Lytechinus pictus: one gene and its partners. The protein of the gene in region 3 purifies or fractionates together with the protein of the main gene of each other region. This does not show direct contact. Links are inferred from orthologs where the notes say so. Each region holds a gene or a part of one and is shown on either strand. Other genes may lie near its edges. The genes, in order: enkurin-like, parafibromin-like, catenin beta and ras GTPase-activating-like protein IQGAP1.

Region 1 (7,369 bases), on a different chromosome or scaffold from region 3:
TTTGGTTCCTTGGAGTGCTTCTTGTGGAATTCTTCTGGTTTCTTGAGCTCTACTTTGGCCGGTCCCATCGTCTTGTTGGATGCCTTGTTTGACTTTGTTTCGACCTTCACATTTCCTCGAAATTTAGACGTGTACCTGTAATACAAAAAAAAATTAATTCTCATGTTATTTTTCTTTTTTTTATATATAACAGCGCTTTGAAACTTTTTGTGTAAAATGCTACATCAATCAATCAATAGCACTTTGTGCACCTAAAAAAAACAAGTTTACAATTGAACATGAACTTCTTTAAAATTACAAACATTTTTTAGTTGATAAAGCTCAATAATATTCTTATAGACCCCTAAGTGTGCAAAAATTAAAAAAAATGAGCAAATATTTAATAACTTCTTGCAAAAGAATGGCAAAATGTGTTGTGGAACTGAGTGACAAATGATTCCTATAGACTATACCGCTCACTAAGTAAATGCAGAGAAATTCTTTGGAATTTAAAATCATATTCATTTTAATTTCATATTTTCCTATAATATGAAAATATTTTAGAAATTGGGGCACAGGAAATACTATTTTTGTGCATGATAAATCAAGTAGCTTTACTCTTTAAGAGTAGGACCCCTTCTACTTCAGGCAGCAAAATCAAGAGGTGTTCGAAAAACACGGTGGGATTTAACGAGTTTTGTGGTATTTTCTTCTTGGTTAAGGATCTGTAGAATATTTGTCACAAATTAGTGAAAGATCATTTGGGGAAGAGTTCCTTTGCGACAGGCACCCCAAAAATTTAAAATAATGAAGTATCGGCTTATGATCGCTAGAAAACCCCTTTTGGTATCACTATCAGCGCATAGCCAGGAAGAATCTTGACTGCGCCAGTGCAATGAATCGCAACGTGAGCTTAAGTAAGGTAAGAAACAAAAACAAAAAAACGATAGAGAAATAGGAAGTGAATGAACCAGAAGTCTCAACAATCTTATGTTATTTTGGGTTGCTGTTGCAAGAGGAACGGCGCTAGTGTAGTTTCGCACCTCCCCGTTTAATGGTTTTCAAACATGTACAATCTCACCCTAAATAATTCACAACCTAAAATACTTGCATCTGAGCCTCCAAAGTCCAGTAGAAGTTGAATATTTGCCGTTTTGACACTTTTTTTTACAAAGTTTTACACCTATTTCGGAATCGCTTGAAGCTCAGCGCTGCACATAAGCAGTCGGTACGCGTACAGTACGTACCACCCACTGAACTAGAAATACGTATTTCTAGTTCAGTGGTACCACCTAGTGAAGTGTGTGTGTGTATTTGAGTTTTGTCAGACGTGTATCAATCAGATGTGATTATTTACGTCTGGGACCGACCTTTAACGTCACCATCCGAAAGACGTGCAAGAAGAGCGAGTTTTTCTATGGTATCTTCAAAAAGATTTTTCCCCTCTTTCAGCTTGCACCAAGTATTACGGTAGTGGTTGTGCAGAGTGGTTTTTTTGAGGATGAAATGTACATTGCATGTCCCAGGTGGTATGGATGGAGATGGTACGGCGTGTGAAAAATTAAAAAATGTAATCTACTAGCATGAAATCAACATAGCATACAATCAACATAGCATATAATTGTAAACTGAAGGAAAGTTCTCTGACCAAGAGTTCAAAACAAGGCTCTACATTATTATTTCTATTTCATCGCTAAATCTACGTGTATTCACATTTTTCACATTTCTTATTTCATTCAAACAAGCACACACACGCACACCCCACACACACCTTCACACAACAAACATCAACCACTCTGCACAACCACTGGCACTACCGTAATACTTGGTGCAAGCTGAAAGAGGGGAAAAAAATCCTTTTGAAGATACCATAGAAAAACTCGCTCTTCTTGCACATAATATCATTATGTGAGAAGTGAGATTTTTTATTAATAGAGTCAATGGCGACAATAGTCAAATATGACTAATCGCCACTCAAACCAACATAAGAAGAAGAAGAAGAAGCACTTCACTAGGTGGTACGTACTGTACGCGTACCGACTGCTTATGTGCAGCGCTGAGCTTCAAGCGATTCCGAAATAGGTGTAAAACTTTGTAAAAAAAAAAGTGTCAAAACGGCAAATATTCAACTTCTACTGGACTTTGGAGGCTCAGATGCAAGTATTTTAGGTTGTGAATTATTTAGGGTGAGATTGTACATGTTTAAAAACCATTAAACGGGGAGGTGCGAAACTACACTAGCGCCGAACTCTTTTCCAAACTTTTTACAAAGTGTGTAACTTAAATTTACGTAGGCCTAAAGTAAAGTTAGGTCCCCCATCACGAAGACTAAGTTAGCGTAGCGGTGACATGCGAGACAGGGTTAGGATGATTTTTTTTTAATGAAACCAAACAAAGATTCACCCTCTCGTTCTCCCTCAACTTGCACTTACAATCACAATGAATTTAACATTGAAGAAAAAATGTTTTTTAAGTTAAATAAGACTTCCATTTTCTAGTCTTGAGGACTCCATGATGATGTCTTTTTAAAAAACTTTGACATATACTTCTTCATCATTGGAAGTATATGTCAAAGTTTTTTAAAAAGACATCATCATGGCATGGAGTCCTCAAGACTACCGGGGTATCCATTTTCATCAGACATGCCACACTCCACCCATACAAGATACACAACACTCATCTTCTCAAGAGTCGACTGTCAAGTCAAGATCTCATTTTTTTACTGAGTTTGAACGACTTACTGGGTTTGTTTTACTTCCTTGACCTCCTCTCCAGGGATGAGATCATAGATACTCTCTTCTGGGCCATACATGGTATTCATCTTGCTGCAGAGATATAGGCAAAGTGTGACAAAAATGAGTTTTATGTGCTGTTTTCGACACTGTCCTCGCAGGATTGCTGTTGACTTCGCATTCGCTGTTTATGTTAATTCCGTGTTTTGCACTGGCAATTCGCAATACACGTACGACCTATGCTACACACAAAACACATACAGCGATCATAACGTTGTCAAGCCCTACGTCACGTTGCTATGAGCGACGGTGGCTAAACAGCGAACGCCCTCATTGGGAAGACGACATCATGAGCTAGTCTGCAGCACAGACCCTTGGTTTTCGCAATTGGTGCATAATGTAGGGTCTGTAGTAGTAAGACTAGATTCACTTTGTCCTGTGGCTGGCTCTACACAGACAGAGCATTTGGCGTTTAAGTCTTTACTCCAGACCTGCTGTGCTTGCAGACTTATCATGAACCGCGGTACTCGTATTTTTCTTCATTGTTTCTTTACCTAAATTTGGACATCATCTAGAAAATAAAACGTAGGCCTAATATTTCACCTTTTTATCTTTGCTTTTCTTTGCTTTTCTCTTTTTTTTTCTTGGTCGTAATTCTTTTTTTTTTTTGGGGGGGGGGAGAGAGATTGAGAGGGGCAGGCACCCCAAGCCCCCATCTGTTTGCTTCTGTTAAAGATAATAATAATACTAAATTAGAGCATCTGAAAGGGTGTTTACATATTATTTTATTCCAGCATATTTTTTTTTATTTTTTATTTATTTATTTTTTTTTTTTTGGGGGGGGGGGTGAAAATGCAATAAAACAGATTTTGAGTCCCTGTCCCCACAATCATTGCCTTTATTCATTTCCCTTCCCCCTATAGTATTTTCACAATTTTCCCCTATTTTTTTCATTTCACGTTCATTTCTGCTTTGTCCTTCTTTATTACGTACATTATGTGTAAATTTTATGCTATTTGTTTCATTATAACCTTTAAATAGAATATTGTTGGTATAAATAAATAAATCAAATCAAATCAAATAAAAATCAAGTTAAACCTAAACTTTTTTTATCTTCTACATCCTTCCGATGGTTGCAGGCCCCAATGAGTCAAAATATTTGACCGGGCAGAACAAAGCTTATGAGGCAAAATTTCTATTTGACATGTTTAAAAAGAAAAATGAGCGAGCAAGGGAAAAAGTTGACCTGAAAATGAAAATGTTATTTTTTATTCATTTTGACAAATATCATAATAATATTATGACCCTTTCCATTTTTCCTTTTTCCTTCCTATTTAGTGTTTCCCCATGATCCGTGGAACATTTTGGTGGAGGGAAGGGGGTGCACCAAGATCCGGTGTCTATATATACGCCATGGGCCTCAATTTTTTAAAAATTATTCAGCTCCTATTTCGAGTTTTAATTAATTTGATTTAGCGAGATATGCCTCCTCTTCATGATTACAAAAAGTGCTGATTATCTTACCTTCAGCTCGCAGCTATAAATACGCGCTCATATTATTTTGATCAGTAAGATCTCTTTCATGAATTCCAATACAGTTCTGAAACGTCCCCCTTTCAGGTCAGTTGAATTGTTCATTGAGATACACAGCATAATCTTTACTTAAAAGCATGCTTAAAATGACATTTTTCAGATCGGGATATTAATATCCGGGCTCGCATCATTGATTTTTTTTACTTTTAGGAAGATATGAAAACAAAAGGAGCAGAATGTCCCTCTTTTTAGATCTAAATCTCAGATAAAATTCGCAAAATTGTTCCTCATAAAGAAAACATTTCTTAAACTCATAGGCGGATCCAGGAGGCCCGGCCCCATCCCCCTATTGGCGGAGCAAAAAAAGAAGGGGGAAAGAAAGAAAAAAAGAGGGGAAAAGAAGGGTAAAGAGATGATAAAGAAAAGAAAAATAAGAGGAGGAGGACGAGTGAATAAAATAAGATGAGGAGAAGACTTGTAAAATAAAAATAAAAGTCTTTCATGTCACTATATAAAATTTTCGCTCGCGCTTCGCGCTCGCATTGCCTGTTCAAACAATACATATCTTTCTCAAAAGCCTGATATAGAGAATAAAATATCAAGTTTTGAAGTCAGTATACAAAACATATTTCAACACGGACATCGATCTTTCAATTATACTTTTAGGCGATATGAATGTTTGTCTTTTTCAGAAATCTCCTCTGGCTAAAAAATATACTGACTTATTGAGTCTTCATGGATTTAGCCAACTCATCAAAGATGCAACCCGTGTCACTCACACATGTTCTTCTTTATTGGACCATGTGATTTGTAATAACGAACAAAAAATAAGTCAAATTGGTGTTATTGATCTTGGTATAAGTGACCATTCTTTTACTTTCTGTACACGAAATAAAATTAGGCTGGCTATAGGTGTTCACAGAACCACTGATATCAGATCGTTGAAAAAATATAGCGAAGAATCTTTCAATCTTAAACTGTCTGCCGTTGATTGGTCAGATTTAACCCAATGCACTGACGTAAATAAGGCTTGGTCAGTTTTTCAAAATACTTTTATTTCAACGTTGAATATGATAGCGCCTCAAAAACGGATTAGAATTAAACAAAGATCAGAAAACTGGATGACTAAAGATATTATTTCTCTTATTCAAGAAAGAAATGTGGCGTATAAAAAAATGAAGAAAAATCTAAGCGATCAGGATTATGACACGCTTTCCAAAAGATACAAGAAATTAATAAATATGGTTCAAAGAGAGGTGAAAAAGGCCAAATTAGAATACCTACAAAATAAAATAGAAGAAAATACAAATGATTCTAAAAGACTTTGGCAGAATCTAAAAAGTTTGGGATTAAAAAAGAAAAATAGAAAGGACCAAGAATTAGTCGTTTCAATTGACGGAGAATTATGTCATGATAAGATAACTATTTCCAATGAATTCAATTCCTATTTTACAAATGTCGCAGCTACGTTGGTAGATAAACGTCCATCTTGCAAAGACATTTTCAGTGCAGACAGTGAAAACATTCGTAAATTTTATGAAAAAAAAGGTATAAGCCAAGATAAATTTGAATTATTACCTGTTAGTGATCAATTCATTTTAATGAGTTGCGTAAATTACATGTATCAAAAAGCACTGGGTTAGATTTGATACCTGCTCAATTTCTAAAAGAAGGAGCAAAGAGTTTGTACAAACCATCAAATTTCTTAATAAATCTATCTATCTTTACTAACACTTTCCCAGAGGATATGGAAATTGCAAAAGTAACTCCTATTCATAAGAAGAAAGATATAACTGATGTTGAAAACTATAGACCTATCAGTGTTTTAAGCATAGTATCCAAAATTCTAGAAAAGGCGGTATGTGTTCAGATCGAAAAATATTTTAAAGAAAATGATATGATTTACGAATATCAGTCAGGTTTTCGACATGACTTTTCGACTGAGACATGCCTTATTCACTTGACTGATTATCTGAGAACAAATATGTCTAAGGGACAATTCGTTGGGATTGTACTCCTAGATCTTCAAAAAGCATTTGATACAGTTAATCACGGCATCTTATTGAAAAAAATACAAATAATGGGTTTTAACCAGGCTACTGTAGCATGGTTCAAATCCTACTTGTCGAATCGACATCAAGTAGTGGCTATTCGCGATATTTGTTCCAAAATTATGCCTATAACGTGTGGAGTTCCACAGGGAAGTATTTTAGGCCCAATCCTATTTTCAACTTATATCAATGACATGTCTATTTGTTTAAAAGCTGACTGTAAATTATTATTGTATGCAGATGATAGCGTACTACTTTGTTCAAATGCCAATCCAAAATTTGTTGAGGAAAAACTTAGCGAACAGCTGTCTACATGTGTCGATTGGATGACTGATAATAGATTATCGTTACACTTAGGCAAAACCGAAAGCATTCTGTTTTGTTTTAAAAGTAATCATAAAACTTCATTTGAATTTGAAGTATCATACAACAATAAGATAATTCATAGAAAAGAATCTGTAAAGTATTTAGGCATTGAGTTGACTAGCTCCCTTTCATTTTCATCTTTAGTAGAATCAATCGTAAAAAAGGCGAATGCCCGTTTGGTAACTCATTTTATTACAATGCTTATAAAACATTGGAATTCCCTTCCCAATGATATAAAGGAAATAGGAAACTTTTTGCATTTTAAGAGGAAATTGAAAGAATATCTTTCACTTGAGAGTCAAAAAGAAGATGCAAATAATATGTTGTACGGTTGATTTAGCCTGAATACTGACGTAGTTCTTTTCTCTTCTCTACTAGGTATTATTATGTATTTTACATAGTTTGATTGAAGCTTCGATATGTCCTTTCTTCTATTCTTTCTATTTCTTTTATCTCTTCCTATTCTCCTCTTCTTGTTGTTCTTCTCCTCATTTATTTCCCTTCGTTATCAGTTTCTTCCGTCTCCTTCTACTCCTCGTCCCCTCTCTTCTTCTGTTCCTCCTCTTCCTTCTCCTTCTTCTTCTTCGTTATATTCTTGTATATATCTTATTATTGTCTATATATCTTATTTATTGGTAATAGTAAATTCTGATTTTTTTTCTTCATTTTTAATATGTAAATAGTATAATTTTAACATGTTATTATCTT
Region 2 (7,186 bases), on a different chromosome or scaffold from region 3:
CACATTTTTCCCCAATTTCATTGCATTCATTATTTTGTTTTCTCTTTCATCTACAGGAAATTTTTGTAGCCAGGAGGCTGTATCATTCGATGAAAACATCAGTTTGGATTCGACCTTACCACAGAAATGTTAGAGGCCCTATGAAGCATTGCATCCGCTCTGCCAAACTGCCTCTCACCCGAGATATTTGTAGAACTACACGATGCACTTTCTGCAGCAAGATCCAGCTAAAGTTGTGATGAACTAGCATATAATAGATTTCTTATATTCATTACATTCATCATTCCAGTTCTTAATTGATATTTCAAAAGTTTAATAAATCACTGTACATGCATTTAATATATTTCTTATATTCATATCATTCATCATTCCAGTTCTTAATTGATATTTCAAAAGTTTAATAAATCACTTTACATGCATCATATTGAGCTGTACATTGAATCTTGCCTCATAAGATCATTTGGCTTCATCTCTACATAATACCCCCCCCCCCCCAGCAATAAAAAAATGAAAATCTAATAAAACAATAGAGCTGCAGGCAGTAGCGTACCTAGGATTTTCCACAGGGGGGGGGGGGCAAAATCGTCCGCCCAAAAATTTGACAAGCAAAAAAGTCTTCAACCACAAATAAAGGATTTCGTACCAGAAAAAAAATTACAAGCAAAAAAAAGGTCTTAAACTTCAAAGGAGGGGGCCACCGGTGGCTCATCAGGGGGGGGCAGGGATATGTCCCTTACATTGGTTGTGACTCGTCGGGGGGGGGGGGCAGTCTGCCCCCCCCCCCATAGGTACGCTAGTGGCTGCAGGTCCACCCACCCATCTGTATCAACCATTACCTCCAATGAGAATACCTAATTTTAAATTTTATTGAGCAACTTCATTAATACTGTTAACATATTCAATTTATATTTTTATGTGGAGTTAATTAATGTAACCAATGCCAATAAGGAAAAAAATAAAATGAATACTTTCATGTGTCAGTGTGGATTTGTCATTTCTTTTTTAAATTTATTTTAATATTCAGATCTGTATGTGTATCCTTTTTTAACACTATGTTCCTTCTCTTCTCTACTGCATGTGCCAAATTGTTTTGTTTTTTTTGCTCATACTTCTTAAATAAATCATGAAAAAATTACATAAAGTCTAAATAAAAATATTTAAACAGACATACAAGAAAAAAAAAGTGTTAGTTTGGGATGATAGAAAATGTTAGAAGACAGTTGGGGGGGGGGGGGTGAGATAAATCAATTGTTTCTTTCTTGTCAATTTAAAAGCTGCAATTCACATTTGTGAATAATTAAGTAGTTGGTAGAACAATTCCTGCTTAAAGTTGCAGTCTGAATGGAATGCAGGATCGCCAAGAACAAAGCCCAGAGGCAGAGGTGGGGTTGGTTTTTTTAAGGCGGCATTTCCATCACGCTTTCTTGGAACCACAGATATTCGACGGCTCAGCCCAAGTCTGTTCATTGTTGGGCCCCTCGACTTCAGATCAGTAAGTATTGCCATGCTCAAATGGAGATAAGAAATTAATCTGAATGAAAATAAAATATGAAAACAAAAGAAAATTAAAATGATAATGAATTAAATTAGATCTAGGCCATTCATTTTTTAAATAATAAAAATGTAAAGTTTGATTAGGCCAAAAGAAATCATGTTACATGAATTTTCAACAGAACATAATCATCAAATAATAAATCAAGACTAAACTTAAAGTAAATTACCTAAAGTAAAGGCTAAAATTAACGTTAGGTACTTCGAGAAGATTCAGAAAGTTGTTGCGTCATTTGCCATTTTTTTTCAATATTTTATTCAATCAAAATGAATGTGTGTCAGTGTGGGATATATTTCTGATTTCTACATTTGTGTCTGGTTTTCAATTCCTAATTTATAAAAAAGAAAAAGTTTTTTTTAATCAAAGAAATACCAGACATATCACGATAGACGGTCTGCTACACAAATTCCAATGCGCAGGACTACACACCGCGGGCAACCAAAAACCCTAGCAGCCGCCATGAATTAGCCCGCGAAACGCGTCGCCAAACTTAAAAAAAAATCCCACGAAACAAATAGCAAGGGCGTTTAACGTTCGGCCGTGGCAAATGGTGGCAAGAAATGCTGCCATGAATGAGGTAAGAAATGAAAGCTTACGACTTCAATTTTCGAGTAGCATATGTATTTTTAGCGTAATATGTCTGATAATTCCATGAAAATAACATATAATGATGATTTGATGCATAAACTGTACTTACAGACTGTTTTAGTGCAATTTTTGTTCCGATCTCGATCCTCCGTCGCAAGAGCTAACCGTGCAGTATAGCTGAATGCATTGGGAAGATGATGTCATCGTTTTCATTCCCATTGATATACGTTTACCATCCTAGACAGGAGACTCAAATAGGGCTTGCAGTTATTGCTCGCACCCGCTCCCGAAGCAGCTTGTCGCCATTTTCGTACGCGAAAATGATGACGCGAAAATCGCGCCCTCTCGCGCTAGAGTAGCGTACCTACTCTAGAAGCCGCCTGGCTATGTGCATGTGCGCTCGTTGTGTACAAAGTCAATAGGATTAGGAGTGGAAAGATGTCACCACCGCTGACGAAATAAACGGCAGTGAATGGACTGGTGACATAAACCACGATAATGCCGTACAAACATGCATTACTTTTAATTTAAAAAATAAAAATCATGTGGCATATGCATTCATAATCATATGCAAGGGCAAGGCAATTAAGGGCAGTTGTTTCACACTGCAGCGCGCTGTGTTACCAACCGTGTTGTTCCAATTTGCAGAGCAGAAAGGAGGAAAAGCCGTTAACTTACCCATAGGTAACGTAGTTAGTTTTTGTGTCTTTGGGCCATGAAAATTCTCCGAAAATAACATCATCGTTTCTTTCCGTTATAACCTTATTCTGAGAGTGATAAACACGAAGTAAACTTAAAACGTCAGCCATGTCGCCGTCTCAGCCTCCCCAACCTTTCTTTCCTCAAACGTACCTCGTCACAATAAATTCAGGCACGTAAAACAAATCGCCCAAAACTCCAAGTGTGTCGCCCAGCCATGCACAAACTCGCAAACTTTGAATTCGACCGATATTATTTAAAGCAGCTCCATGCTGTGCAAACCATTCACTCGAGTTAAGGGTCTGAATATGCAGCCTACACATGCCTTGTGTACTGGCCTCTCAGGATTGAAACAGCAAGTTTTGTATGTGGTGCTAGTCTTTGCGTGGAGACACATTTGCTGATCAAAGTTTCAATCAGGGTCTGTACCTGCAGACTAGATGCAGGCGGGTGCCAACAGGCCCTACCTAATGACGATGATAATGAAGAATTGGAGATGGTGGCATGATGGTGGTGGTGGTGATGATGATGGTGATGCTGGGCCTGGAGAGAATTAATGATGCCAGTGTGTATGCAGTGGTGGTGGTGATGATAATGATAATGAGTGATGATATGGGGACATCTCTCCATGAATTTTGTACCCAAATTCCGGGATACAAATTATCAGACTTGCCCCCTTCTGAGCACAACATAATAATTCAATTTCATTCAATTCAAGGGGTAGGCCTACCTTTGGAATCCAATGTCATAATCGATTATTTTGGAAACAAACTGTAGCTTTAGAACGAGGCATCACGCAACGTGCCTAAAAATTCCATCAAACATTTATTGTCTTCCGATTTACAATCCAATTTCAGATATGATATATACAAATCAACAGTAATAAAACAATGAATGTAAATGCAATATGTACATTGATCGAACAAGGTGTAACAACCAAGAAAGCAGGTGGATGTGTCGGGATACACTTATAAAACTATGTCATCGGAAAATTTGTCACTCGAAAATATAATTCACACCATATATGCCGAGGTCAGGAGGAGATAAGAAGAAAAATGTAATACAATGGGGGAAATCTTGTCTTTTAACGGACGGAGCTCATCAAGTTGCAAAAGATCAATTGAAAAAAAAATGATTAAAAATCTATGACTAAAGCGGCACTCAGCAAAACGCATAGAATGTGAATATAATGACTTAGCTTGCAATTGCCATTTGATAATAACAACAATGAAATTTCAAACGAATATGATGAACTTGTAATTTTTCATTTGCTCAGTTTAGAACATCTGACATTGGTCCTCCAAAAGAGACTTTCGGCGTCCGTCGGTCTATTGCCCGTCCGTATACATATTATTGAAAGTAGCTTCTTATTATTGTCTAATAAAATATTTATTAAATTTGTAGTCAAATATAAAATAAATTCGAAATATTTACATCCATTTTTTTTTATAGTTAAAAAAGGTTGATTGTAGTTTTATCGAATGTTCATTATTATTTATAACGAATATTAATGTAAGAATATTTTATATGCTATGTAACTACAAGAATATTTATTAGGAGGCTGCACTCTACAAGCTCCGCCTTTTAGCAGCCACCTCCATTTCCAATAATCTTGAATATAATTTTTGTACAGGGATACTTGAAATATGTTTTTGTTATTTATATGTAAAAATATACAAAACAAACTTTAATTGTTGAAAATGGAAATAAACGAAATGAAATGAAATAAGTGTACATTTTCACATTGTTTAAATCAGGGACGTGACGTCCCTGTTTCAATCGCAACCTCTTCACAATCGATTATGAGGAAGAAATTATTAAAAATAATGTTTCTATATGCAAAATCCGGTAATATGATAAAAGTGTGGGAAAGTGAGAGATCTAGCAGTAAACCTACTACTAACTTTTATTTTGCAATTGATACGGCGTATACAGATGGGGGGGGGGGGTCTTGGGGCCATTGACCCCAAATTTTCACGGCCAAGAAAATATGGAGACAAGGAAAAGAAAAGAAGGAAAGGGGTGAAATGTATTAATTTCTGAATACTGATGTTATGCAAAGAAATCAGACAATTAGGTCTTCTCTTCATTAAAGAGGTAAAAAAAAATATTGCTCATCATCATCATCCTCATCGTAATGGTGATGAAGATGATGATGATGCCTTCCTGATAGCAATTGCAATCAGTCTCAACTTTATTACTTTGAATTTAGAAAATATATAAAGTCTGCGGATAACAATTTTATCACGTAACCCGAATTTGGATTGTATCAGTATATAAACTAGAGACGTGGAAATAATTTCCCCATCATAATCGATTATAAAGAGGAGGGAATTACCAAGGAAATAAATTGTACACTTATGACAATATCATATTATCAACATTCACGAAAAAAACCGAGTTCTTTTTCATTACGGTTAACAAAAAAAAACAGACTTAAAATGTAAATTAGTGGAATTGGTTCTTTATTTGAGTACAAATTTATATTAACAAATCGAACTCATTTTGTACTCGAGTACAAATTTATGTAAATAACTAGAATAAACAACTACTATTTATTATATATTACAAAAAATCTACCCCCTTTGGGTATTTGGACGGTTAAATACAGACAAAGAACTTCGTCTATAACGCGAATCAGAAATCACCGACAGGTGGTCCATATTACAATCAGATGTATTACATTAATACAGAATTTATGTCGCAATTGCCAAAATGGTCATTGCTTCACAGCCAATGACAATGACAATGACAATGACAATGACAATGACAATGATTTTATTTCTTTGACGGCCCCTCCTGGGGGCATAGAAGAAATATAACAACTTACAACAATGGCAATAATAGGCATAAGAAAAAAATACAAAGGTAACAAGAATCAAACATGATGATAATAAACATATGTACAATACAAGAGCAGTAATAGAAATAGAAACGGGCACAAATTAACCCACCCACTTCCGACATGCCAGAGAGTATCTGGAGACCGGTACCCCACTGAACATGTGCAGGTGCAATCCAACAAAATCTGAAATCATGCAATCCAACAAAATCTGAAATCAGCCGTTCTGGACTTATTTTATATCATTGAAATTCAAAGGAGCCAAAAGTTTGAGGGGCAAGACTAGGCGTATGGAGGCTTTCTAAACAGCAGCGAGTGAGCGAAGCCAGCGACCAATTTTTTACCTCTCTAATAATACAACAAGTGGAATGCCTCTGGCCGTCTCACCTGCATCACGCGATTCAATATAGCAGCAGTGCTGATTTTGAAAACTACTATAACTCGCACAAGATGTTCAGTGATACTTGGTTACTCTTATTTCCACGTTTTATGAACTAGACCAATACACTTATAGAGATATGATGGCAATTCAACAAATACCCCCAACGTGGCCAAAGTTCTTTGACCTTACATGACCTTTGACCTTGATCATGTGACCTGAAACTCGCACAGGATGTTCAGTGATACTTGATTACTATTATGTCCAAGTTTTATGAACTAGACCAACACACTTTCAAATTTATGGCTGTAATTCAACAAATACCCCAATTTGGCCAAAGTTCATTGACCCTAAATGACCTTTGACCTTGATCATGTGACCTGAAACTTGCACAGGATGTTTAGTAATACTTGATTACTATTATGTCCAAGTTTCATGAATCAGATCCATAAACTTTCAAAGTTATGATGGTAATTCAACAGATACCCCCAATTCGGCCAAAGTTCATTGACCCTAAATGACCTTTGACCTTGGTCATGTGATGTGAAACTCATGCAGGATGTTCAGTGATACTTGATTAACCTTATGTATAAGTTTCATGAACTAGGTCCATATACTTTCTAAGTTATGCTGTCATTTCAAAAACTTAACCTTAGGTTAAGATTTGGTGTTGATTCCCCCAACATGGTCTAAGTTCATTGACCCTAAATGACCTTTGACCTTGGTCATGTGACATGAAACTCAGGCAGGATGTTCAGTAATACTTGATTAACCTTATGGCCAAGTTTCATGAACTAGGTCCATATACTTTCTAAGTTATGCTGTCATTTCAAAAACTTAACCTCAGGTTAAGATTTGGTGTTGACGCCGCCGCCGCCGTCGCCGCCGCCGCCGTCGCCGTCGGAAAAGCGGCGCCTATAGTCTCACTCTGCTATGCAGGTGAGACAAAAATCAAATTTTAATTTTTACATGTATACCAACTGTGCCGTCTTTTACTCCTTGATCGTTTAATTAATTCTGATTTCTGAAATAATGACATCGCCTTTGTATTCATTCGAAAATGAAATATTCCGTCTTTTCGCCACCTATGCAACCATCGTCGTAATGAAGATGCTCTGGGTCGGTA
Region 3 (7,567 bases):
CAAAGTACATGTACATGTAGTTTAAATAAAAATTAAAGTAAGAATTTCAAAGAGAGTCAATCTCCTTCCCAGCTGTAAAAAGAAACTAGACATTCATAAGAAACTGATTAAAATCCACAGTAATGCGTGCTGGTGTACTGATGTACAACCCATTTTAGCATATTCCACACAGACAAAGATGGAAGTTTGATTGAAACAGACTACATGTACATGTCACTGTCTGGGCAAGTACTAGTGATCATCTGAGAAAATTTGACAGGAGGTGGTTTCAAACCGCCTCGATCACAAGAATCCCCGTTAAATTACGAGAACTTTTTTAGGCTGAAAAATACCCATTAATTATTCCTGCATTCACACCGCCCTGAAACATACCCTTCGGGATAAGTTCCTGAAGTTACGAGCATGCGCAGTATGGTCTGATAAGCAGCAAGGCGCGAAATTCAAAATCACTAGCCCAGGAGCAACCCATGCACGGCGCCGCACCCAACGACACGCTGGGCTAAAAGTTCCCGTAATTTGCTTTCAGACCGCCAAAATACCCACGACCTTGGAAAAATCCCCGCGAAAGTTCTCGTAATTTCGCCAAGTACCTACTATTTATCGGGTATTTTCTTTCGGGGATATTACGCGTAGTTTGCTTTCACACCGCCAAAATACCTGGTATTTTCTGATCGGGGTAAATTTCCCGATCAGAGAATACCTGGAACTGGCGAACTTCGAGGCGGTCTGAAACCACCCAGGGTCATCTTACTCACATACTAGATATTCCATGCTGACGTTTGGCTTGAACTTCTCACCCACAATGCTTACAGTACTTCGTTATCACTGTCTCTTATTTTGAAATGTAAGCCACAAATGTTTCTCATCTTTTTAGCATTGTGTTTTTCATGCGCATACATGTACATGTATACATGTAGGGGGGGGGGGCATCAATTTCACTTCAACATTAAAGAAACAAAAAAGGAATATAATAGCCTAAAGGCTAAATACCTCTCATTTTGTGTATTTCATTTACATGTAGGCTTAATCATATTTTAAACATTTTTTTTCATGCAAATCTAAACCAGGAAAATATTGAAATTTGCATCTGTTGTTCTTATTAGGGCCAATGCTATAGGCCTACATGTACTTGTTGCCACTAACCACTCATGATGAATTTCATTTGATACTGTAGGCCTACAAGCAACATGTATGTATGTGAATACATGTAAGCCTCATGTACATCACATTTTTGTTGAAGACAATTAGACCTCCATCTACATGTTAATAGATAGGGACAGAGATTTACCGCGATCGCGGAAAACGAACCAAATTCACGGAAAAGACCTTTTCAAACAAAAAGTGGCTTTTCAAATGGAAAATCATGGAAAACATATTTTTTCTCAAAATGCACAGAACAGTGCAAATAAATTACTCCAAAATCTCAACACAATATGAATATTAACTGGCCACAAAACCCCATAAAATTGAAAACGATCTCACTTCGCTACAATCACCACAATCCACACATCGTGACTGTTTTCGACTCCAACGTATACCCCTCGCCCCAGCCCCCGCCGGACGGCCTGGGCCGTATCGAAAACATTCACATAAATGCGCACATTGTTTGATTATAACCAACATATACATGTAGAAGGCAGCAATACGGCTGTATGTTGCTGCTCTCTAAGTTCGGTAACAGAACAATATCTCTTGAAATCCAAAATGGCTTTTAGGCGAAAATCATTGACTGCTCAAAACGATGTCAAAAAAAATCCCCAAATTATATATTAATAAAATTTAATTCAACTGCAAAATAATGCTAATAATGTGAAAGGTAATGTTAAATGTGTTTGTCAAAATATTTTGTGCACCTGTATAGGTATGATAAGATTCTAATGCGTTAGTACAGTGGCAGATACAAATTTTGACCAGCACGAGTGTTGTGACATCGCTACTCAATGCGTATTGACGTTCTATGTAAATGGAATTATCACTTTTTCATGTATACAAAGTCTATGGGGGAACAGCATTTCCGTTTTCAAACATGCTGAAAGAAACGGAATGTAAGAATTTCTGAAACGAACAAGGCCATTTTTGAAACGGAAAATCACTGACCCTACATGTACATGTAGGCCTAGATAAAAACAAATGACATAAAATTGAATCACACTGCCATTTAAAAATTCAATGCATAACTGCATCATAGGCCTACATTTTTTTATGCATCTCTATTAGTAAGAGCAAACAGTCAATCCTGCATGTACTCTGATATGTATATTGCATGATCATGAATCCATTAAACAAATATATCGGGCTTTGAGAAAGTATAGTGGAATTATTTATCCGAGGTTGGTCTGGCAATTACTATTTTTTCCCGAGGGGCGAAGCCCCGAGGGAAATATAGTAGTTTTGCCAGTCCAACCGAGGATTAATATTCCCACTATGCTTTCGAATGAAACGCCTGATATATTTGCTTTATATCCTACTTTTAATAATTTATAACCAAAATCTATGCGCTGAGCATGCAAAGTCCTGTTGAATTACCTACTTTTTTCCGAGCCACCGCGCCCAGCGGAACGCAGATTAGTGTCTGCGCTGACGCATCGCGCTGGACTTGCGCGCCCGGGAGAGAGAGAGCGCGCAAGCCGGTGCGCCGAGATATCCAGTTTTGTGAAATAATGACGTCAGAATATTGGTATATCCAAAAATATATCGAGGTCTGACGTCACGCAACATCATAGTTGAAATATATTCGGTCACATGATGCTACTTGAACCAATCACTATACAGGATTTACTCTATGTAGGATATAAATTCATTTGTAACCCACATCAATCTCAGCACTCAGCATCATTATGCTCATGCGAAATGCACTTGGAAGTCCTACAGAAACAAACAAAGTGCATCCTCTCCAATTGCCAGTGCAATAGTGCATGTGTGTGAAGGAGGCAAGGGTGTTGAGATAAACAGCAGGTCCATGTACATACTGTACACCCTCCTATCTCCCATGACACACACTCTGTATTTGGCATTCCACTGGAATGAATACCAATGCTATACAAACACACAAAGCCACTGCTACTCCCACACACAGAGAAGCCACAATAAACATAGTCTTCCATTGAATAAATATTCAGACATAAAGTTGTTCATTATTTAAGGGCTTCGAGTTTCTACATGTGGACCTACATCTTATAGGTCTCACACTTTATACAGTCACATCCACTGTGCACACTACAGGCCGACCTAAATGTAGTTTATTGTATTTTCCCGGTATTCTATATATTCACAAATAAAAATGCAACAAATAACAACAGATGACTGAATAATAGACTACAATTATAAAAACCCATTTACTCTGCTTGCTCACCTATTGGGTGCACAGCAAGTCATTTACCCATTTCCATGAAGGAGAAAATCTTCACTCTAGTCTTTGCCTTGTTGTACAAGATTACCGGAAGTGCATTCCAATTACATATGACTTATTGTATGCGACAAGAGCAATATGATTCTATCCAGTGTCATATAGTAATTGATACAGAGGACAAACTTTCCTAATCCTTTAATTCAAAATGTGCCCAATCTGACGATGAAACAAAATAACAAGGTGGTTCACTAGTATCACCCGATTTCGCGATCAATGAAATATGCAATATGATCTTTTGACCCCTAGATGACATTTGAGCTTATCATGCTCATTAGAATGCATGTGGTATTACCCCCCCCCCTATTACCCAATTATTATTTGTACCAAGTGTAAACAAAATTGATGCAGAAATAAAGAAAGTTGAACAAAATCTTGAAAATTAAAGGATACACATACATGTACCATTTGACCTTTTGACCACTAGATGACCTTTGACCCTCATGATCCCCATCATTCTAATAAGCTCACATGTGGTGTTACCCAAGGTTCATGTGTTATACATATAAGTATGAACATGATTGATGCATAAATAAAGAAATGAGAGCAAGTTGAACAAACACTTGAAAATACAAGGATAGACATATCATAACGTTTAACCTTTTGACCACTAGATGACCTTTGATTTTGACCCCCATTTTTCTCATGGGCTCACATGTGGTATTACCCAAGGTTCATACATGCATGTACCAAGTATGAACATGATTGATGCACAAATAAAGAAATGACAGCAAGTTGAACAAAAACTGCTTGTTTAAGTTTTTCCAAGGAAAGATCAAGGGCACTTCAATATCGTTATCATACAAGATCAAGTACTGGTATTTTTTTTTCTCAAGTTTTACCATATATTCATTACCAAAGGCCTAACCTAATGTTAGCCTAACCCCTACAGCAAAGAATGAATTTAAATTTACGGCTAGTACTAAGCCTAAATTGTTTACCTTGACAGCCAATCACGGCTCGCCATTCAGCGTACATTGTCTATTTCGGTTCTATTACATATTGTTTTGCTCTAGCGTTTTAGTCATTTCATGCGATTTTACTCTGATGCGTGCATGTCGAAAAGCTTCAGTATGTCCGTTTTGAAGGCTATATTACGATTTTGCGGTACCAAACACTTATTTAAAGAATGAATTGAAACAAGAAACTGAAGAGGGTATGGATTAACAGTTGGACACAAGATGTGGGTGCTTCCAACGAGACACATGTACATGTCCGTCTATTCTATATCAAGGTCTCAAAAAGCCTTTACGAGTTGGCCATAATTTTAGACATCTCTGAGACTGACATTATAACCAAACGTATCCATGTACCTCATTCAACAGGAAAAATTAAGAAATATGGATGTTTCTTTCTACTTTTTAACAGATTTAAAGCTAAATGAAAGAAGTTGCAGAAAACGCTCATTTCATGAGTAAGTGTAAAACCAGGCCATATCATACATGTACATGTACCATATCAATCATCCTACACATGTAGATACATGTACTGGGGCCCCGTTTCATAAAGACTTGCAACTGTTGTAACTTTGCCATTATGGCAACTACCATGGAAACTTTGATTCTGATTGGCTGCTGAGCCATGTTACCATGGTAGTTGCCATTATGGCAAAGTTACAACAGTTGCAAGTCCTTTATGAAATGGCCCCAGATCGGGTGGGTGTTTCATAAAGCTGTTCCTGAGTTAAGAGCGACTTTAAAAACGACTGGTGATCTTTTTTTGTTGTAAATGGTAAATTTAATGAATTGGCGATGGTTTAGTGCGTAAGAAAGGTTCACCAGTAGTTCTTAAAGTCCCTCTCAACTTACGAACAGCTTTATGAAACGGCCTCCTGGTACATTTATATAAGCTGAACTTTGTGAAATCACGAAATTGAAGCTGAAAATAATCACACTGAAGTTCGCCAACACAGATGAGTACACATGGAAAGACCCGACAATTTGGTGAAATGTCATTCTTATTTTGCAGCAATTACACAATTTCTTAAGAATCCTTTGGCACCTAATTTTTTATTCAGTACAAAAAGACACTTGGGTGGTCATTTTATAGGATTCTGTACCAACTCATTTTGAAATGGTTACAACTGGCATCTTTAAATCCATACTCAGCTACATGTACATGTAGAGCTAGGGAAGATCTATGAAGCAATTGGTGCACAGGACAACACAGAAAATACACCAGGGCGATGGGTGGATTCGCTCTCTGGATAGCAAAAAAAAAATGCCCATAAATTTCCCCAAATTGAATGTTTGGGTGATAGTCTTTTCTAAAGTCACCCCAAGATCTGCTCAAAGCAATCTAAGAAAGTTAAGAAATCAATTTTATAAAATACAGCACACTGCTTTTTACAGCATAGTTGCTTGTCTAAGTATATGTATGTAGCCCTTGAAATGAAAGAAATAGCCTTGAAAAATTCAGCAATCATCTCCAATGTGGGGGAAAATGGCCCCTAAAAATAAAAATTATTTCCAACCCTGGGACACAAGCTTGTCGAAGAGCAATTAAAAACATTATCAACAGCTCCAAAACCAATTAACATGAAGCCAATCTTTACATTATATGTGCAGACCCACTACAGAGCAAAAATCTAAAGTGTTTTTGTTCCTACGCAAGTGTAAAAACTAATCAATTTTTAAAGGTACAACTAATAATTGATAATTTATTGCACGGGCCGTGCGCAATTCGAGTTCGCCATTTTGGATTTGACGGTGAATTAATATGTGTGGTGTACTGCGAACCGGCTTCATATCACTGATTTTGAGACGTTTACAAGAAAGGGCAAGGAATGAGTCTGTGTCCGATAGTAAGTTTAGACACTGTAGAGTATGCTTAATGTCTCTTTTTTACATGACGTGTTGCCTTTTTCTATTTATCGCCCAATGGTTCGGGTAGCCTAGCTAGGTCAGGTGTAGCGGAGGCCGGAGGGTTAGTGAATAGTGGAGTCTAAAGTTACACAGTACACATATCAGTGAGGTAGGCCTACTAGGTTTTGGCGTGGTTGAAGCCCGAGAGGGGGGGAGGGGGCACTCACAAATAATGGTGGTACGGGGATGTGCCCCTTTGATGACCCCCTTTTTCAGACCCAATTTTCAATTCTCTAGACTCCAAATGACAAAAGTTCAAGGGGAATCCAACCCAAATAAAAACTTGTTTTTATAAAAAAAAGAAAAATCAGACAAGTTGATAGGTGAAAGTTTGAACATTGGACAAACAACAAGAAAGTTATAAAAATTTAAAAAGTTGTAAAATTGGCTGCATATGAGATGTCACAGTGATGTAAGGCAAGGACTACTCTTCCATGTACTCCAATACTTGGCTAAAATGTCATTTTCCCCAAAAGTTTTATTTCAAATTATATTTTTCTTTTATGAGGACATGAAACAATATGCAACCTGGGTTTATTACTGCCCCAGGGGAATGGGTACTTAGGAGAAAACCACAAATCCCTGATAATTAAGTACATGGCCTATGGGAAAGTTGTCCTTGCCCCTTGTCATCATTTACTTACCCAGTTGCCAATTTGAAATCTACATAGTATTAGTGATCTCAGTTTTAAAGCAGCTATAATTTTCTTATTGCTTGTCGGATTTCTTTCAAACGTTCACCATTTTGTTTGATTTATTTTTCTCCTTCCCAACACAACATTTTATGGAAAAGGCTGGATTCCCCTTTATTCTTTAAGTTCAGAAGCAGCCCAGCCCCGGCACATCAAGGCACAAACTGGACCCTCAAAAAAAGGAAAAGTTACACCTCTGTCGCGTTCGTTCTCAGTATCGATCGGCCATTTTGTTTTCAATTTTGACAGGAGAACGAACGGAACGAGACGGAACTTTTCCTTTTTTTAAGCGCTATGGTGCAACGTACCTACACTGCAGTGCACAGTGCCTGCCGCGATCCCGTTCCATGACCATAGACTGTTTTTCACACTTTGCAGTATCTCAAGTTCCCAAGACCCCGTATTCTACCCTTTTAGTCAATTCCTAACATTAGGCTTAGTTAGACCCCCATTTCAGAGTTTCGTGAGGTACGGTACACCCCATCAAAAAATTATTTGAGTCCCCCCCCCCCCAGTTGATGAAGTTAAATAAATAATGACATTAATGTGCATTTGATATGATCAGTTAATACAATCCACCATTTTGATCACCCCCTCTCACATTG
Region 4 (7,709 bases), on a different chromosome or scaffold from region 3:
GTGACTCTAGAAAGAATGGTCGCCCCAAAGCATTTTTAAGGGAATTTTAGGGGCGATTACAGCAGTTATGAGGACAAAATCGCCCGTCGCCCTCATCTATTCCTTTTGCTGTTAAGGATTTACTTTTAAATCTCAAAACATTGAAATTAAAATCTATTAGCTATATTCAAATCCACAAGATTTAAAAATAGATCTAATATTTGGCCGATCACTATTCACAGCTGATCCAGATTTATTTTTAAATCCTTGGAATTTAGAGTGTATGAGTCAATAAACTTTTGATCAAACCCGAATTAAAATAAATACTAAATATTAGTAGAAAATTTGCTTCATCAAATCAATACTGGTAAAATATTGTACTTGTAAGCTCCTCACTAAACTAGTACAAATGTAAACATTACTATGAATTTACAAATTATATATTTTCCCTCATTTATTGATGGAAAATAATTATGCCAAGGCTTCAGTCACAACAATGAGTAGCCTGCTCAGGCACCGCTGGAATCTAGACAAGATATTTGTAGAAGTCTAGCGAGCTGTAGGTTAATACCTATTATATACTCAAGGCCAAATGTGGGTCAAATCAGGGGAACTTTTCTGTTTGGTGTCCAAGCAGTGATCAGCTGATGACCCACTGATTCCCGGGTAGTCTCCCACCGGCCACCGGCCTATTTTTAAGTAATCGCCCAGCCGATCTTGAATTCGCCGCGAGATCATCGACCGATCTCTGAGCGGCCAGTGGCCGGAGACCAGCCAGTGACCTTCAACAGTCTTTGATCCAACAAGTTCAATGCCTAAATCATTCGATGTTGACCGCTCGATTACGTTGGCACCCAGACAGCGACCACCCGCGCACCGAGCGTATTCAAGGCAGTGAGTGATAAAAGAACAGGTGCCTCCAGAATTTTAACTCCGTGCTTAATAATCTTTAGCGACGACTGAGCGATGCCAAAAAAAACCAGTGGTGCCCAGACGGCCGCCGCTCTGTGCCCAGGCGAAATTGGCTAAAAACTCACCGAACAGGCTAATTTGAGGGGGTGTGACCGTAGCCTAAAGTAGAGGGTTCAATCCAGGAATATGGACCATGCGAAATGTACATCTTCCAACTTTATTAAAAAAAAAACACTTGGGGCCTGAGATTACTTTACTTACCAAAATGGCCAGAAAAGGACTATAAAAAAATCCTCATAAACAAGCCCACTGCACAAAAGGGCCCCCCTCATTTCTTAATGTTCCAGTTTAAATGTTCAACACTATCAAAAGAGCTACGAAGGTCATTATCAACTATGTATGATCTGCCATAATATCATGATTAGAATAAATGTACCCCAACAGATATGGCATTAGTTTGTCTGAGGTACACCCAGCATTACAGGTAAGGGTGTGATTTATTCACGGACTAATTTTTTACAACCCAGTTTGAATGTTGAGACTGAAATGCAATTAAATAGGCAATGGCTCACTGCCAAAAACCCAGACTTCAAAGGAGAAGTTCAAATTTACAGCGTTGATCAGAGTCAATGAAAAAAGTAGGGAGGAGCAAGTTATTCTACTCACTCAAACCATGGACCTATTGTAGGTCCATGCTCAAACAAGCTGAACCCCCGAGGGGGGGGGGGGCTAAATTCCCCAAAATTTTTATGATCAATCCATAGTGAAAAGCTTGCAATTAATTGATTCATGACTTTTTTCTTTCAAGTCTTACCTAGTTTTTTAGACAAAACTTGCAACCCCCGGATACGCAGTTCAAAAATTTCTTATTTATACATTATTTTAAAAATATCAAATTTCAATACTTCCATGTCTACTTTTCAATAGTAATGCAAAGTTTAGTTGTAACCTCTTTCTCCAAAACTAATTACAATGTACCTCACACATCCATCAACTGAATTTATTTTTTCCTAATCTGAATGTAGTTCCCCTTTTTAAAAGCACTCTCCTTACTATGAACAGATAAATTATAAAGTGCATTCGTGATCAAGTATTTGTTTTCGTTTTGAAACTTCTCAAATTAAAAACCAGCACTGGGAATTAGATTAATTTCTAATTTAAGAACAACTTAACCATTATCTTCATCGAATTTCTAATAACTGATTATTTTTCCCAAACGATTAGACCTCAGATCATTAACACTTGAAGACTATTATGTAGCAGGATATAATAATAGCATACTTCTTTAACCAAGGAAATGCCATTCAGAGTAAAGTGAATCGTATAACAATGGCACACTTGAGAGCAAAAATTTGTTATTCTCCATGTAACGACAGAAAGATAAAGACACTGCACTTTACAGATATAAACATATACATATCATTAACAACAATGGATGCGTATAATCTTGGTATCATGAATAAAAGCCATGTCTTGCCTTTTCAAGCACAAGATTGAATTATATTGTTCTGCTTCTTAGCTGCTTATTTGTTAATGTTTTATTTCAAATGTTAATCTTGTATTTCATTTTTTATTATTTGAATTGAATTGGGAATATCAAAATAGTAATAACTGAGTGTCATGTACTTCCAATTATGAATACATGCGATATACAAGTGGCCATTATCACCATCATCACCATCATCATCATCATCATCATCATCACCATCATCATCACCATCCCCATCATCAGCATCAGAATCACCATCACCATCATCATCATCAATTCATCATCACCATCATCATCATCATAACCACCATCATCACCATCATTATCACCATCATCACCACTATCATCATCATCATCATCATCTTCATCATCATCATCATCATCATCATCATTTTCATCATCATCATCATCACCATCGTCGTCTTCATCATCATCATCATCATCATCATTTTCATCATCATCATCAATATTTTATCAAATAATATATCTTGAAAAATGAAAGTATTTGTAATCTACTCACTCTTTATAATAAATGAATTAAAAATATTTACCGATGGTAATCCAACAACCTCCATCGCTCTGATCCACTGCACTGTGTTATCCGTGTGTCTAAAATGAAGTCCTTTGGCCTAAAAAAATAAAAATATTTAAAAACCTTACAAAAAGGTGTAAACATATAGGAAAATTCATGTGAAAAAGGAACAAGCGGAACATTATCCGGGGAGCGTTTCATAAACATTTTCTTCCGAAAAGTTGTCAGGTCTGACAACTTTCCTTGATAATGATTGGCTGAGAGGCACTGTTACCATAGTTACTGTCGGATAAAACAGTACTTGTCGGATAAAAAATCTAACAAGTCCTTTCATGAAACGCTCCCCTGATCATTGACTTTCAAGGCATAATAATATTCTTTTTTTTTTAGATTGTGAAAGAAAAAAAAACACTCTATAGACATCCGCAGCAGAAAAAAACACTTGAATTCCATTCAAATACTGTCATGTCGGTGCAAGAACACCATTAACACCATACTTTTGTACATCGCATGCGCGCAAAAACGCCCTGAGTAGCAAGCATTAGGGCATTGCGTAAGGGCGATCCTGCACCAATGGGGTGTGTGGAGATGTTTTGCTAAGGGCGTTCTTGCACCGACAGGACGATATGGCCTTCTTGGTAGTAATGAAAAAATATATATATCAATTATTGTATATGCTTCTATCAGATAAAATCCTAGAAATTATTATCTCTTACTTGTGTTCTGAACACATAATACTAATACCTAATAAAAGAGTGCTGTATAGACCTGGGTCCCGTAACACAAAGATTAGTGAATAATCGTACGCTTGATTTTCACGATTGATTGTACATTGTAGTCAACGCAATCAATCGTAGAAAAATGTTCTACGATCATTGCCAAGTTTTGTGTTACGGGCCTCAGGTGTGGGTTTCTTAAACTGTTCATAAGTTTACGAACGACTTTGAGAATGACTGATGATCCTTTCTTAGGAACTACATTAACGCCTATGAAAATCTGCTGTATTTCATTTACCACAAGAAAGGGTCACCAGTTGTACGTAAAGTCACTCGTTAGCATACGAACAGCTTCATGAAAGACCCACCTGGTTGTAGACAAACTAGAAATAGACCAAACACAAACAGTTATGATTGATCCAATCAATCGTAACTCTATGGAAATCCATGAGGGCCATAATTTTTCTACAAGAAATTTGCACAATGTCTTTTGTAAACAAAAGAGAACACACCAAATCATCAAGAAATCAATGAATTTATGGATACACATTCATATCTAGCCATTTTTTAAAACAAACATGCATTTTATAGGTTGACTTTGCTGGCTGTCCATAGTTGTGATTGATCGGATCAATCGTAACTCTTTGTAAGACGGGGCCCTGGGGGCTCTTTCATAGAGCTGGTCGTAACTTGAGAGTGACTTTAAGAACAACTGGGGATCCTTGCTTTCGGGTAAATGATATTCACCATTAAATGTTCATTGGTGATATTTAGAGCGTAAGAAAGGTTCGCCAGTCATACGAAAAGTCTCTCGTAACTTGCCAACAGCTTCATGAAACACCCATCCAGGTCCCATAATAATACCGGTTGATCAGGGACTGATTTCCATGTTTTATTGCATTGATTATTGTGCACGATCAATCACAAAAATCTGCCACAAGATCAATCGCTTAATATTTATATGTCACAGGATCCTTGACCTATTCTTTTTCTTCTGGTGGAATTAGTTCTTTACATGCGTTTCAAGGTATATATATTTTTCTCAACTGTTCCCATCCTTTTTATTTTTTATGTTGAGTATTTCTTTTAACTGTCATGGAAAATATAACAAAGGAGAAATAAGCATGCAACTTCATCTCATCTATTTATACAACTGAACAACATTTAAAAAGCGTCGGCCCATGGACCGAAAAGTATTCTAACCTTTGGGAGCAAAGGAAAGCCGCATCAGCTTCCACTTTTGTTTGTTATCGACATCCAACAGTCCTAAATTGATCCTGATTGTTTCTGATAAAATGGAATCTTACAGCCTTGGGGGACTAAATACTATATTTAGAGATCTCTTTGGGAAGTACAGGGAACGAGGGGTAACGAGTGACCGAGCAGTAGAAGATAATCCTCCAACAATATCAATAAACTTAATTGACAAACAAAACAACCTGCTTTTTTATATATTTTAATATTGGGGAAAAAAACCAACAAGTCCCAAATTGGCAAGCTTTTTAATGAGGTTACATAATTCTCCCTTTTTTTGGCTCAGGCTCCCTTCCTCATCATTATTATCATTATTGTTGTTGTTGTTGCTACCATTATTATTAATTATTATTATTATTGTTGTTATTATTATTATCAATATTATTATTAATTATTATTATTATTGTTATTATCATTATTATTATCATCATTATTATTAATATTATTATTACTACTATTATCATTATCATTATTATCATTTTCACATTATCATGAATTATCATCATCATCATTTTAATTATTACTATTGTCATCTTCATCACCATCATTATTTCCAACAATGAAAACCAGGGATTTGAACATGACATCACTTGACAGATCATCTGGTCATTAAAACGAGGCATTGCTTTTCCCAAAAATTTCATACAGCGGTTTGTCACCCAGCTTGTATTTAATATAGGATGAGAATAGCGCTAAATGAACGTGACAAATATATTTTTAGTCTACATGTAAATGCTGAGCTTTAAAAAAAAAGAGCATGAATTAAAAAACCATTTTGAAACAGGCATGATTTATTTGTTAGTTATAGAGTTGTGATGCTTCGGTTTGCCTGTGATCAAAGATCATATCTCCCTAAAGGACACATGGGGCAACAAGGAAAGTGTCTGAAGCAGCTCCTCGGAGTGCAATCACCAAGACGCAAACTACCTTCTCTGTAGTCCGTTGCCATGGAAACATCTATTTTCATCCATTTCGGCGGAAGACAAAGAATCAACAGGAAGTGAGTTTGTTGCATGGTAACTGACTTGAGAAGTCAGGTGTGTTCAACTTTCTCAGGAATCACTTGCAAATCAGATAAGACTTTCCATTTCTGGTTTGTTCCTGTATTATGCGCTGGTGTGTTCTTCTCTATTCTCCAAATTTATGAAATACATGTAGATTCCTTTCACACAATCACCAGGGAAACTTGCACGAGTAGCGGGGAGGGGGGTGGTTTACACCCCATGATTGTATAAAAATTTAATTTATGCCTTGCCAAGAAAAACTGAACGAAAGAAATTATTTAAGTGGGGGTGTCGTCGTCTAGTGGTTATGACTCTCGTCTTTCAATCAGAGGCATGTGGGTTCGTATTCCAGCCATGGCGTGTTTTCCTTCAGCAAGAAATTTACCCACATTGTGCTGCACTCGACCCAGGCAAGGTGAATGAGTTCTCGGTAGGATTTATTCCTTGACACTTTAGTGTCGAAATGGCTTCTCAGCTAAGGCCGGGGTAATAATATGATATCAAGTATCAAAGCACAGCTGAGTATATGCATACAATAAATGTGCAATATAAATGGACATATTATTATTATCATTATTATCATTGCACCAAATAATAGTCACAGGGCTCGACATTACATGTAGCAGTGGCCCGGCGCAACCAAAAATGAGAGACGGGCCACCAAACTTCTGTAAAAGCCCACAATTGGTGGCCCAAAGTTTTTGGCTACCAAAGTTTTGCTAAATTGTACTGTTTTCTATTGTTTAGGGCCACCAAATTTGCTTTGCGGGTCATCAAAAATATGAAATTGATTGGGTCACCAAGAAAAAAAAGTTGGTGTGGAGCCTAGCAATTGATCACCAAAGGGTAGATCAAAATTCAAAACCTCATCTGAATGCCTTTATTTTGGTAATGTACATGAACTTGTCAGAAGAGAAGGCATTTATAAAGCAGGTCTGTCCATCATGAAGGCATCACATTATTTCATGGTAAGGGCAGCCTCATATAGAAACAAAATTGGGTCTCCATGAAAAATTACTCCATTAAAGGGCGCATGTTTCTTTTCATAAAGACCTACAAATATAGTATAAAATTAAGTTTTGAACAAAATTAACACTTGTCACTGCTGAATGAAATAAAGGTTATCTGCCTATGTTTGTTAATCTCATGTAAGCTTATCCATGTTTCAAACAAACATTCTCTTTGATTCTCCACATAGATCTATGAAATGAATCTTCCTCAAGTTCACTGCACTTGTAAAAGCTAATCCCTCTGGTCTATCCACTGCCCTTTCAAATTAGAGCGAGAGATAAAAACAATTAACAATGACCACAAGTACTAGCCATGGCTGATGATATGTCTGGTGTGGTTCGGTATATGCCCTCAATTCACACCATCAGAATTTATTGTACACCCAAGGAATTGGCACCAGGGAATAAAAATATGCGGGGGCTCAGGGCAGTCCCCCCCCCCCCCCCGAATGCTCAAAAGAGCCCTGGAAAATTTCCATTCAATGCAATGTCATAGCTTTCCAATGCTGTAAATTTATTCAGTAGGTTGTGAAGGGTAGCCCCCCCCCCCCCCCCCCCCCCCCGAAATGAAAAAAAAAAATTCCTCCTTGGAAGAAAGTTGGTATACATACAGGTCAGGCCTTTAGGCATAAAAGTTGGTCACAAACCATGGCAGAGCATACTGTACACTTTATGTCTCAAAAAGTAAATATTAGAAAACAGAGAAATATCTTTTGCCCCAACTTGAATGCAATAAGGAGAAGATGGTATTTAATTTAATTGTTAAGAGTTCATCAGAAACTTCTCATGGTCAAGTTTGATTCCATTACATAC

Evidence for each region.
Region 1: the proteins of catenin beta (region 3) and enkurin-like purify together in Homo sapiens (affinity purification with western blotting; 3 studies listed by BioGRID). This does not show direct contact. The link is inferred for Lytechinus pictus from reciprocal best matches to the Homo sapiens genes CTNNB1 and ENKUR.
Region 2: the proteins of catenin beta (region 3) and parafibromin-like purify together in Homo sapiens (affinity purification with western blotting; 3 studies listed by BioGRID and IntAct, with this or other methods). This does not show direct contact. The link is inferred for Lytechinus pictus from reciprocal best matches to the Homo sapiens genes CTNNB1 and CDC73.
Region 4: the proteins of catenin beta (region 3) and ras GTPase-activating-like protein IQGAP1 purify together in Homo sapiens (affinity purification with western blotting; 3 studies listed by BioGRID and IntAct, with this or other methods). This does not show direct contact. The link is inferred for Lytechinus pictus from reciprocal best matches to the Homo sapiens genes CTNNB1 and IQGAP1.

Annotation. Positions count from the first base shown.
Region 1 is NC_087257.1:8,445,360-8,452,728, forward strand, and holds the start of enkurin-like, read right to left. Parts: upstream 3,023-7,369; 5' UTR 2,801-3,022; coding exon 2,721-2,800; intron 136-2,720; coding exon 1-135. UniProt on the Homo sapiens protein: Adapter that functions to localize a calcium-sensitive signal transduction machinery in sperm to a calcium-permeable ion channel.
Region 2 is NC_087259.1:23,518,362-23,525,547, reverse strand, and holds the start of parafibromin-like, read right to left. Parts: upstream 3,018-7,186; 5' UTR 2,950-3,017; coding exon 2,819-2,949; intron 1-2,818.
Region 3 is NC_087245.1:36,923,868-36,931,434, forward strand, and holds the start of catenin beta, read right to left. Parts: upstream 3,010-7,567; 5' UTR 2,813-3,009; intron 1-2,812. UniProt on the Homo sapiens protein: Key downstream component of the canonical Wnt signaling pathway.
Region 4 is NC_087249.1:12,742,725-12,750,433, forward strand, and holds the start of ras GTPase-activating-like protein IQGAP1, read right to left. Parts: upstream 3,017-7,709; 5' UTR 2,956-3,016; coding exon 2,932-2,955; intron 1-2,931. UniProt on the Homo sapiens protein: Plays a crucial role in regulating the dynamics and assembly of the actin cytoskeleton.